3 linked regions of the Drosophila melanogaster genome follow. The protein of the gene in region 3 interacts with the protein of the main gene of each other region in a pairwise test. Each region holds a gene or a part of one and is shown on either strand. Other genes may lie near its edges. The genes, in order: CG10444, PIG-C and CG13068.

Region 1 (3,756 bases), on a different chromosome or scaffold from region 3:
GAAGCTGAAGCGCGTGCAGAGTGAGCGCGGCTGGATGAAGAAGCACGCTGAGGAAATGGACATGATCATTGATGGCTACAATGACGAATCGTAAGTTTTTTTTAACAAGATCTCATTAAAATGAAGTCTATGACTAACTCTTACTTTTGCAGTGGCAGTGACCAGGATGAGGATCCATTTGTGATTGAGCGACGTCGCAATCGGCTGCGCGTGGAGACAGTTAGAGCGCAGCTCAATGCTCTCCTGGCCCAACCCATCTTCCCCAGAGGCTTCAGCTTCAAGTATCCCAACAGCGAGGCGGCCCAATTAGCCACGAGTCATACTCAAAGTGCCGTGGAGACCATGAAGGCGGCCATAGAGGACCAGAAGCAGGCCAAAAAAGATCGCAACAAGCGAAAACGGAATGCCTAATCTAACTTAAAGCTGTTTTATTGAATAAGAGATACAAAGCTATAGCCTTGGATGTTTCCATCAATGCTTTGAAACAAAGTATCGCACACCTCCATCGGTCAATGAGCGAGCGTGCTTGGCCAATAGTGTGGAAACGGACAAGTTTGGGGTGGTAAAGCACCTAGTTATAAAACCGAAAATCAAAAAAACAATCTAGATATGTGTTCATCATTACTTACTCTATGTACGGTTCCATTTCCTCCATCGTCCATCTCTTTTTAGTCTTAAATAGCGCCCGCATGCGATCGCTTATATTGGTGGGCAGTAACTCCTCTGCCAGGGAGCGTATGCAAGGCTGCGCTCCCTCCTTGTCGCAAATGCCCAGACCTCGTAGGTACTTTAAGTCGCAGGACATGCCCTCGGGCAGTACCTCCTGCCAGGTGCGCATGAACTCCTCGTTGCGAAAGCGCAAACCCGGCTGAAGAATGTTCTGTGCCACAATGCGGGAGACCAAGGACTCCTGGTACTCAAACTTGCCCGGGCAACGTTCACTGGGAATGGTATAGATATCAAACAGCCCAGCCACAACATCCTCTGGAGCTATGCCCTTCAGTGCATTGATGGTCTCCTCCCGTTCCACTTCGTCCAAGGCCCAGGAGTTTTCGCTTATCAAACCCAGCATCATGTTAATAATGCGATACTCGTATTCGTACTCCATCACGCGCATTCGCCCGTCCAGTTCTATGGCTCGATATTGGTTCAATCCCTCCATGAACTGACCGCGGCTGCACTGCACCGTGTCCAGGAGCTGCGAAAAGGTAAAGAGTAGCTTCTGCTCCACGCAGAACTCGTTCTCCGGCCCCGAATATCGAGTCAGCTGCAGTAGTTCACCCAGCTTGCGAAAGCGCGGCTTTATCTCGCGGCACTCGAAGTACTCGTGGAACACCTTGAGCACCGGCCGCTGCTCCAGAGTTCGCGGCACTTCCAGTTCATCCTCCGTGCTGTCATTGAGGCTGCGCTCCAGGGAGGCGTTGGCGTTGCCAGTGCGCGGACTCTTCAGCGGCGAGGTGCTGGTGGCGGCGGCAAACTTGAGGTCCGGTACCAGCAAAAGGCTATTGGATATTTCCGCGCCCTTCACGTCGTACGTTCGCTCATCGGTGCACAGCACCAGCTTCTCGTTCTGGCCACCCTTGAAATATAGCGTCTGGCCGTCGCGGATTTGTCCAAGCATGTGCCCATCGAGCTCCAGAAGGCGCAGATTGTCCGAATCCACGTCCGCCGAGGGAAAGTACAGAGCCTGGGTGAGTTGGGTCAACTGGCGCTCGTCCAGTTTCGCATGCTTCACAATGGCCTTCACATCCTCCGGCGTGCGAACGTAGCTATGGCGGGTGGTTGGGTAACATTATAACTCCTACGCAGGCATACCAAAGGCACTCACAGCTGGGCAGCAGACTCATCAACCTCCATGGATTCCATGTTCGCTGCATGTAAACAAAACAAAAAATTAACCAAAACAATGAGCGGGAAAAAGTAGTGGGACCAAAGCACAGCAATGTTGCTTTCGTTGAGGGTATTCAATGGCCTTTCAATATGTAAGCTTAATGTGCTTGGAAAACATTACAGCATTAATCCGCACACCCTGCAAGGGCACACTCACCGCTCAGCTGATCAGTTATTTAACGGTCGTAGCCTCGGCAAGAACGTTTCTTTTTTGAGCGGAGATTTCGCGAGCACGCGTCTTGTTTTCCGCCGTTCGCCGTGCACTTGGACGCGCACTTTAGAAAGCGTTGACTGCGCCAAAGGTCATTGCTGGGCAAGAGAAGCGTCCAATCGCCGCTGGTGGTGACGCTTGTGGAAAAATCAATTCGGACCAGTGACGGACGTCGAACTTCCAGTTCTCTGACAAGCGGAATCCAGTCAACAACAACATGCCCGTGGGAACGTTTGACGCCTGGGATGCGGCCGTGCTGATCACCATCCTGGTCATATCGGCTCTGATTGGCATCTACTACCGGTATACAGGCGGCAAGCAAAAGACCACACAGGAGTATCTGATGGCGGACCAGAGCATGACCACTTTTCCGGTCTCCTTCAGCCTGATGGCAAGCTTCATGTCCGCCATCTCACTGATGGGCGTCTCCAACGAGTCCTACGAATTTGGTACCATCTTCTGTGTGATCAACATTGCCTACGTGCTGAGTACGCCCATTGCCGCGTACTTCTTCCTTCCTGTTTTCTACAGGATGCGGACGACCAGTGTGTACGAGTATCTGGAGCGGCGCTTTGGCCAGGCCACCCGGCTGTCCGCCTCCCTGGCCTTCACCGTGCAAATGGTGCTTTACATGGGCATTGCACTCTATGCACCAGCGCTCGCTTTAGAAGCTGTAACCGGCATTCATCGGTCAATGGCCATCGTGGTCATTGGACTGGTGTGCACCTTCTATTCGACACTTGGCGGCCTGAAGGCGGTGCTCATCACGGATGTGTTTCAGTCCTTCCTCATGTTTGCCGCCATCTACGCCGTGATTGCCGTGTCGGCCATTAAAGCCGGCGGATTCGCGGCCATCTGGGATGTGGCTGTGGAGCGAGGACGCGTGAACTTCATTGAGTTTTCATTGGATCCCACCGTGAGGCATACTTGGTGGTCTCTGATCATTGGCGGCATGGTCACTTACCTCTCCTTGTATGGCGTTAATCAAACGCAAGTACAGCGACTCCTGAGTGTCCGCAATTTGAAGAGCGCTCAGTCGGCGCTTTGGTGGAACCTGCCCATCCTAGGAATGCTTAGTTTTAGCACCATTTTCAGTGGACTGTCCATATTCTACTATTATCGAGATTGTGACCCTTTGCTAAAGGGACGCATCGACAAGCGGGATCAGATCATGCCCCTTTTCGCACTGGAGACTATGGGTGAGTTGGAAAGACATCCAATAAGAATTAGCATTATTTGATTTCTTTTTCCGGCAGGTCAATATCCTGGACTGTGTGGTCTGTTCGTGTCCGGAATATTCTCCGCCAGTCTTTCCACGATTTCGTCGGCAGTTACCTCGCTGTCGGCTGTAACACTGGAGGATTACCTGAAGCCCTTGTACAAGGCGATATTTAAACGGACGCTAATTGACTCCAAGTCCACGATGCCCACCAAGATTGTGGCGTGCATTTTTGGCCTGCTTTGCATCGGTCTAGCTTTTGTCGCTGGCTCCATGGGCGGAGTTCTTCAGGCATCGCTTACCATTTTCGGTGTGGTAGGCGGTCCGCTGCTGGCCATTTTCACACTGGGAGTCTGCACTACACGCAGCAACCAAAGAGGCGTGCTGCTTGGCTTCCTCGTTTCCCTGATAGTTTCCTTCTGGATGGGATTCGGCG
Region 2 (3,756 bases), about 13 Mb from region 3:
ATGCTCATAATGTGCTGCTGCTGCTGCTGGATTTGATGGTGCTGGTGGTGGTGCTGCTGGTGATGGGGGTGATGTCTCGGGTGCTGCTGTGGCGGATATTGATAGACCCCGCCATTGGCCTGTTTGTAGTAGTTCGCATTGTACTGGTACTGCTGCTGGAACTGCTGGGCGTAGTGCTCGAAGTTGGCATACGTCACAAGGTGCTCCTGTGGCTCGGGAGCCACATGGCGCCCCTTGATTATGTGCGCTATGTCGTTCAGCATCTTGGCCATGTCCAGCGAGGTGATGAGCTCGAAGTTGATGGCGTTGAGCGCCTCATTTCGCTGATGTCGCTTGTCCTCCACGGGCAGAAAGTAGTCATCCTGCGAGATCAGACGCACCTCGCCAATGGTGTACGGCGAGTTCCACAGCGGCGCTCCTCTCAGACCCTTGAAGTAGTCGTGCAGGCTGTGGGCTAGCGTAGTTTTGCCACCACAGGTGACTCCCGAGATACCAATGACCAGCCACTGCGGCATCTTGTCCACGACTGACTATCGCTCTTCCTTGTTTTTCAGTGGAATCGTACGTTCGCGTTCGCACCGAGCAAGATAACCCCCCGGATAACCCCCTTAATCACGTTTCACTCTCAGGCTCCAGATGTGGTAAAAGGAGAACGCGGCGATGCCGCCGAGGAAGATCACCCCGAACACGGTGGGCACAATGAAAGCGTACTTCAGCGGTGGAAAGAACAGCCGAATGGGATTGCCTGTAAAAGTTTGTAAAGTATACTCATGTTCACAAGTGTTTCATTTGATAACAGGCCAGGAAAGAAAATACGTAAGTATATTGTTTTTATGATTACTCTTAATAGCAACAAATTAAAATTGTCACGGAACGGCAAAACTACGATCATGAAATATTTACGTATAAAGTGAAGAGCCAATATCCAGGCGGAAAAACTACCGAAAATAATTAGCTAAGTACACACCCAGATTTGGAACCACATAATACAGTGGTACCACTGGTTAAGCACGTTTTCGTTTTTATCGCTGATTGTACATGCCTAGACTCTACAATAGCTAACTAGTTTGACTGTGCACATATCGGGCGAATACTGTACTCCTATCATCACTAGTCGTCGGTGACCTTGACCCGAGCTTAGAGCATCGTACAGCCGCATTCCAGGTAACCCGTGTTAGGGTGGTCACCTCTGTAAAACACACGGGTTCATCCTCGTACACTGCCAACTATATATAATTGAACATCGTGACCAATTTACGCCGCGGCGTCACTTTAATTACTATACAAAAGCGCGAGATTATTCAATAAAACTTATGTATTAGCGGGTGAATAACGGAAGCCGTGGAAAACTCACCTTCATCGATGAGCATAAACGGGAGGACGGCCACCCAAAAGAAGTAATAGAAGAACACGGCGATTGCAGATATCAAAATGATTTTCCCGAGTTGCGCATTCGAAGCCATAAATAGCTATTCTCGGAAATTCTGGGGTTTCTCTGGCGAGAGAACACGCGACCGGCGATTTGTTTGTAAAACTGCTCATGGGGCGTTCTCCCCGGACGGACTGCTTCACTGTCCACTGATCGTTTACCCGCCGCACGAATCCCTAATGTTTTTTCGTAGCTGCCGATTTACTTTCGTGGCGTAATTGTAAACAAAACAAACAAGTGCGTCAAAAAATTTCCGAATTCAAGGTAGTGGTGGTTCAACCACTCGAACAAGTATCGATAGCTCGAGTAACTGTTTTGCGCAACACCAGCGGATGTTCTTATCGATGTAGGCGAGTCACTTCTGCTTGGGGATAATTTTCAGAATAAGATTTGTATATTATTAGCTTGCTGTAAAACCCCTTGTTTAGATAATGAACAGTTTATTAATATTTCAAATTAAACTATCATCATCGATATTTCAAGTGAAACATGCATCACTATGACAGTGTGACCAGCACTTACTTTCAATACTTTTCAGTGGATAAAACAATATCGATATGTCGATAGTAACTGATACTATCGAACGCTGATAACCCAGCACTAATAGAATTGTAAACAAACAATTTTTAAATTTAAGAATGGTAAAAAATGGGCAATCGAAACGGCAGCCATGGGTGAAGAACCTGTACTCCAACCGGGAATATCCGGACAACTACACGGATGCCAGCTTTCTGAAGGATCTGCGCACGAATCTACATTGTAGAATATACACGTTCGGCGAAGCAATTGCCGGTATTACAGTGCTTAATAATCAGATCTCCTGCATCACCGGCTTCCTAATACTCTACCAACTTATGCTCAGCGACAGCGTGTCGCCCACCACGATCCTGGTACCCAGTTGCGGGATCACAGGCATTGGATACCTGTGCTACCGAGGAAGGAGTCTCAGCTGGGCCCTGCTGGGCGAGGATTCCAAAACCCTGGTCACAGTGGTCCTCTTCGGCTACTTATTCTCACCGATGCTGCACACCCTAACGCAGGCCATCAGCACGGACACCATATACACAATGACCTTCTTTGTCCTTCTGGGCAACCTGATATTTGGACACTATGGATTGGATGTAGCCATGGTCTCTAAGGTAGGCAATATTTACGGCTATTGGTGTTGATTGTATATTGATCTTGACTCCACCTCAGAATCCTATATAATACAAATACTTCTTGTTCCATGTTAAGCGCAGGCCGTCTCGTTGAATGCCGCCATATTTGGAGCAATTTGCTTAGCCTCCCGCCTGCCGACTTCGTATCACGCCTTCGTGCTCCTTGTCGAGGCTGCCGTCTTTTTCGTCCTTTATCCCATAATGACGGAAGCGAATTGGCATGCTGGATTCATGTTGCCTATATTTGCAATATGCTGTATGGCGCTGTACTGTATATCGCGCCCGGTGCTCTATCTCTACGCCTCCACCACCATTTTCATCAACTTTGTCTGCCCGTTCATATTCGTGTGGCAGCAGCAGTACAAGTTCAACATTCACGGGCCCTGGGACGAGGCCATCGTGGAGGAGAACACCGAGGAGAACCTGGATGGGAACTTATAGCGCCAGCTGCGCTTCTCAGAACAGTTGCCGCCACGACTGGGTAGCGGCGACGTCGAGGAGCACTTCACTGATCGCTAAACCATTGCACGCTTATTTTTATAACTTTGTAAACTCATTCCAAGCCATTGATGTTAATCTTTTGTATCATGTTATATCTGTTAGTTTGTAAGTAGCGTTTTAATAAATTATACTTTTTGTGTTTAAAACCATAGCACTTTTAAATTTGTGTAATTTTTAGGGGACTTTCTTTTGGTCCTATGAATGGCTTTTTAAATAAATTGTTATCAACTTAAGGCAAAGGTTTTTCAATTGAAAGATAATGGAGTTAAATTAACAGGGTGAGTTTTTTGGCTTGGTTGTGTTTTACTCAGACTAAAAATAAATTTAGTTAAAGATTATTTATCGTCAGCGACTAAAACCCGTTTCGTAGATAACAATTAAACATTCGCATGAGCATACATTGAATATATTTGACCCTATCTAACGCAAATAAATTGAAGCAATTGCTTTAATAATAGACTATGGAATATGGATGAGTGACATCTGTATTAAGTGCACGCCCTTGGGTTTCCCAGAAGTTCCTAGTCTAACCAGAGATTTAATTATTTTAGTATTCTGCGTTTTACCTATCTATGTAATGCATGCTGTCCTGCAAGCTACTTCCACAGTTTCAGTAAGCATTCTTGAGAGATAAATAATCCAGATTACATCATATAGTATCGCTGT
Region 3 (3,176 bases):
TTGCATTTATGGTCAAATTTGTAAGATAATTATTATCCAAGTGCAGCTGATGCACAATATTCTTCTCCGTCAGCTGGAAGTTTTTCAACTCATTATAGGACAACACCAGATTCTCCAAGCTTGCCGCATCCGCAAAAGTGTCCGGATGGATGAAAATCAGGCGATTATTGGATAGATTAACCTCCTTGATGCGCCGCATATTGCGAAAAACCTCCGGTTGAATGCTGGTCAGTAGATTTCCCTCGAAGGACACCTTCTCCAAGTACTCGTTATCCTTGAAGATATCGTTGTGCAGCTCCTTCAACAGATTGCCCGTTAGATAAATCTGGCTAATGGTGTGCAGGCCACAGAAGGCATTCACACTCAGCGAGGATATCTCATTGTAGGACAAATCCAAACGCATCAGAACATTGGCGCCAATAAACACAGAAGTCTGGATAGATGTCAGATTATTGTAGGCCAGATTCAGATAGGTGAGATTACTCGCAGCACTGAATGCATTTCTCGTTAGCTCCAAAATATTCGTATTCGAGACATCGAGGGTCTTGAGATATGGGAATGTTTCGAATAGATGGAAGGGCATATAGAGCAGCGTTGATTCGTAAAACTTCATGAACTTGACCATATTTCCGGGTGGTATGTTCTTGATCACGACATTTTGACTGTGTGTGACCGTGAATCCGGTGACCGTGCAAAACGCCTCATTCACGTCCATGTATCCCATGGAATCGTACTCGTCGCATCGCAGGGGGATATCTCCTCCACTGCCATCACAACTCGATATCGCTAGAATAAGGATAACGATCACTTCGAGTATCCTTCGCGTTCTATTCATCTTTTTTACGAACCGCTCGCCGCCAAATAACTTTGTAAACTGCATCAGTGGAATTTCGCAGACTGCCATTCCAGCTTCCACTCCATTTGTATTTACATATAATATTGTATTCATTGATTAAACTTTATCTCGCTCCTCCGCAGATTGCCAGCTTTCAGTAGTCCAGCGCAATAGTGATAACATATTGTCGGTCTGCACTTTGTTTTGTTTATACTTTTATAATGCACTACATTATAACGGTCATTTCAAGACGTGATCTCATAAATGCATTTAATAATAGAAAAAGGTTTTAAAACGAATATATAAAATTTGGGTATCTTACGATATCTTTCTAAATATTGTCATTATATCAATTTTGGTAATATGTTTATACATATGTCGTGTAGCTAGACATTCTTCTGCTTCTGGTTTTCAAGATTAGAAGTATATGTGGTTAATTGAGTACAGGGTATTCCGAGGTCGTCCTCTCCCCAAAAGAACTTGCCCTGTAGGAACCCCTACATGTCTGGCTTCATTTTGCTTCAGAGATATAAGCCCATACAGGCACGTTTCGATTGTGAATGGACTGGTAAGCTGAGCTTGACTCTTATTAAAAGCTGTCTGCTAACTTTAGAGCCTCAGTTATCTGGCGACCCCCTCGAAACTGCATCTTGCCATGCAGTTTGTTGACCTTACGATGCGAATGTAAACGTAACTGGCGTTTTTTGGCTCGTGTGTGAGATTGACCGCATTGCATCAGTCAAGCGGATTAGATTTTGGCCGAAACAAAGAACGGGCACGATGACATGGTTTTGATTGCATAAAGACCATTGCAGCCGACGGACGTAACCCTGAAACAATGCGCTCGCAATCGGATTGAAGCGTGCAATTCCATTTCATTGATTCCTGGCCAACTCTTGGCGCAGGAGGTTACTCATCGGCAATTAGCCGTGTCTGGTGGCATCAATCACATCGGGCTACTGGTCACCTTCGCGGCGACATCTTTTATGGGCCCACAATGCGGACGTGCCCGAAATAATGAATGGGTTTGGTCTTGCATTCAGATTCGGATTCGGATTCGGATTGGAATCGACCTCCGCGGGCGGCGGGAACGTAGCCAAACGGCCAATTGAGCTACTGAAAGGCCGCTCTGCATTCCCATGCAGGTGGTATAGAATCATTCGCCCCATTATCGTGTGTGCCCAGAAAGTCAAAAGCATCTATGCGATTTCCCGGTGCTATAAAAGTTGCATGTCGGATCGAATCAAGTCATAGTCCAATTTGCTAGCTCAAATCAAACTAAACTAAACCATCATGTTCAAGCTGGTGAGTTGGTGGTTTCTCCATATGGATACAGATATCTGGAGTATTATATTAACTGGTTATTTCCGTACAGTCTGCCCTCGTTGTCCTGTGCGCTCTGGTGGCCTGCTCCTCGGCTGAGCCCAAGCCCGCTATCCTGGCCGCCGCTCCAGTGGTTGCAGCTGCTCCTGCCGGCGTGGTCACCGCTACCAGTTCGCAGTACGTGGCCCGCAACTTCAACGGTGTGGCTGCTGCTCCAGTTGTTGCCGCTGCCTACACCGCTCCAGTTGCCGCCGCTGCCTATACCGCTCCAGTTGCCGCCGCTGCTTATACCGCTCCAGTTGCCGCTGCCTACTCTGCTTATCCGTATGCCGCCTACCCTTACAGCGCTGCATACACCACTGTTTTGTAAAACGGATTAACAAGTATTCAAAACGGATTTGAAATGGAATAAAAATAGACCCGACTGGCAATAAAACAAATCAAACTAAAAGCTTAAAAATATTATTCTGGAAATGGGAACACCAAGTTCTGTTTTTCAATAGCAAAAAAGCTATAGTTATATATTATTAATACTTTTTAATGGATTTTCTACTATTAATTATTATTTCTCAATCTTTTGGCGGCAACAAAAGTTCTTGATAGTATTTAAAAAGAAAGTCACCTAAACATATACGTTTTTTATAATTAATATTTTTTTACTGTCACCTTTTCTAAACCTTTTGTTCTGGCAGCGTCTGTTCTGCCCACTTAAAATGCGGAAATGTAGCCCGAAAAAATACCAATTCAGTTGCGTCATCATCCATTGACAAATCACAGATGGCAAAAGTGATAGATTTCTCGAAATGTATAGGTAACCGGCATCTCTGGTAGGAGAATCACGTGTTGGCCATTTAAAAATTGCCGACTGAAAGTTGCGTCAACCCGAATAAATAATTATGCATGTGCGTGTCTAAAAATATATTTCTGGCTTAAAGCGGGCAATAACGAGTAAAATAGCAACCATAACAGGGAAAGGATTCAACAGGAGGGACAACAGTGTCCTTTGACCACCTTATGG

Evidence for each region.
Region 1: the proteins of CG13068 (region 3) and CG10444 interact in a two-hybrid assay, tested with the Drosophila melanogaster proteins (one large-scale study listed by BioGRID).
Region 2: the proteins of CG13068 (region 3) and PIG-C interact in a two-hybrid assay, tested with the Drosophila melanogaster proteins (one large-scale study listed by BioGRID).

Annotation. Positions count from the first base shown.
Region 1 is NT_033778.4:20,272,801-20,276,556, reverse strand, and holds the start of CG10444 (uncharacterized protein), read left to right. Parts: upstream 1-2,057; 5' UTR 2,058-2,318; coding exon 2,319-3,300; intron 3,301-3,357; coding exon 3,358-3,756. Other genes in the region: CG9143 (uncharacterized protein), read left to right, coding at 1-90, 153-411; CG11788 (uncharacterized protein), read right to left, coding at 472-571, 630-1,769, 1,829-1,866.
Region 2 is NT_037436.4:3,317,504-3,321,259, reverse strand, and holds PIG-C (phosphatidylinositol glycan anchor biosynthesis class C), read left to right. Parts: upstream 1-2,027; 5' UTR 2,028-2,067; coding exon 2,068-2,568; intron 2,569-2,670; coding exon 2,671-3,030; coding exon of another isoform or gene 3,031-3,108; 3' UTR 3,109-3,232; downstream 3,233-3,756. Other genes in the region: CG12016 (uncharacterized protein), read right to left, coding at 1-515; Dpm2 (Dolichyl-phosphate mannosyltransferase subunit 2), read right to left, coding at 609-745, 1,355-1,463.
Region 3 is NT_037436.4:16,267,307-16,270,482, forward strand, and holds CG13068 (uncharacterized protein), read left to right. Parts: upstream 1-2,085; 5' UTR 2,086-2,128; coding exon 2,129-2,140; intron 2,141-2,210; coding exon 2,211-2,528; 3' UTR 2,529-2,605; downstream 2,606-3,176. Other genes in the region: CG4950 (uncharacterized protein), read right to left, coding at 1-835.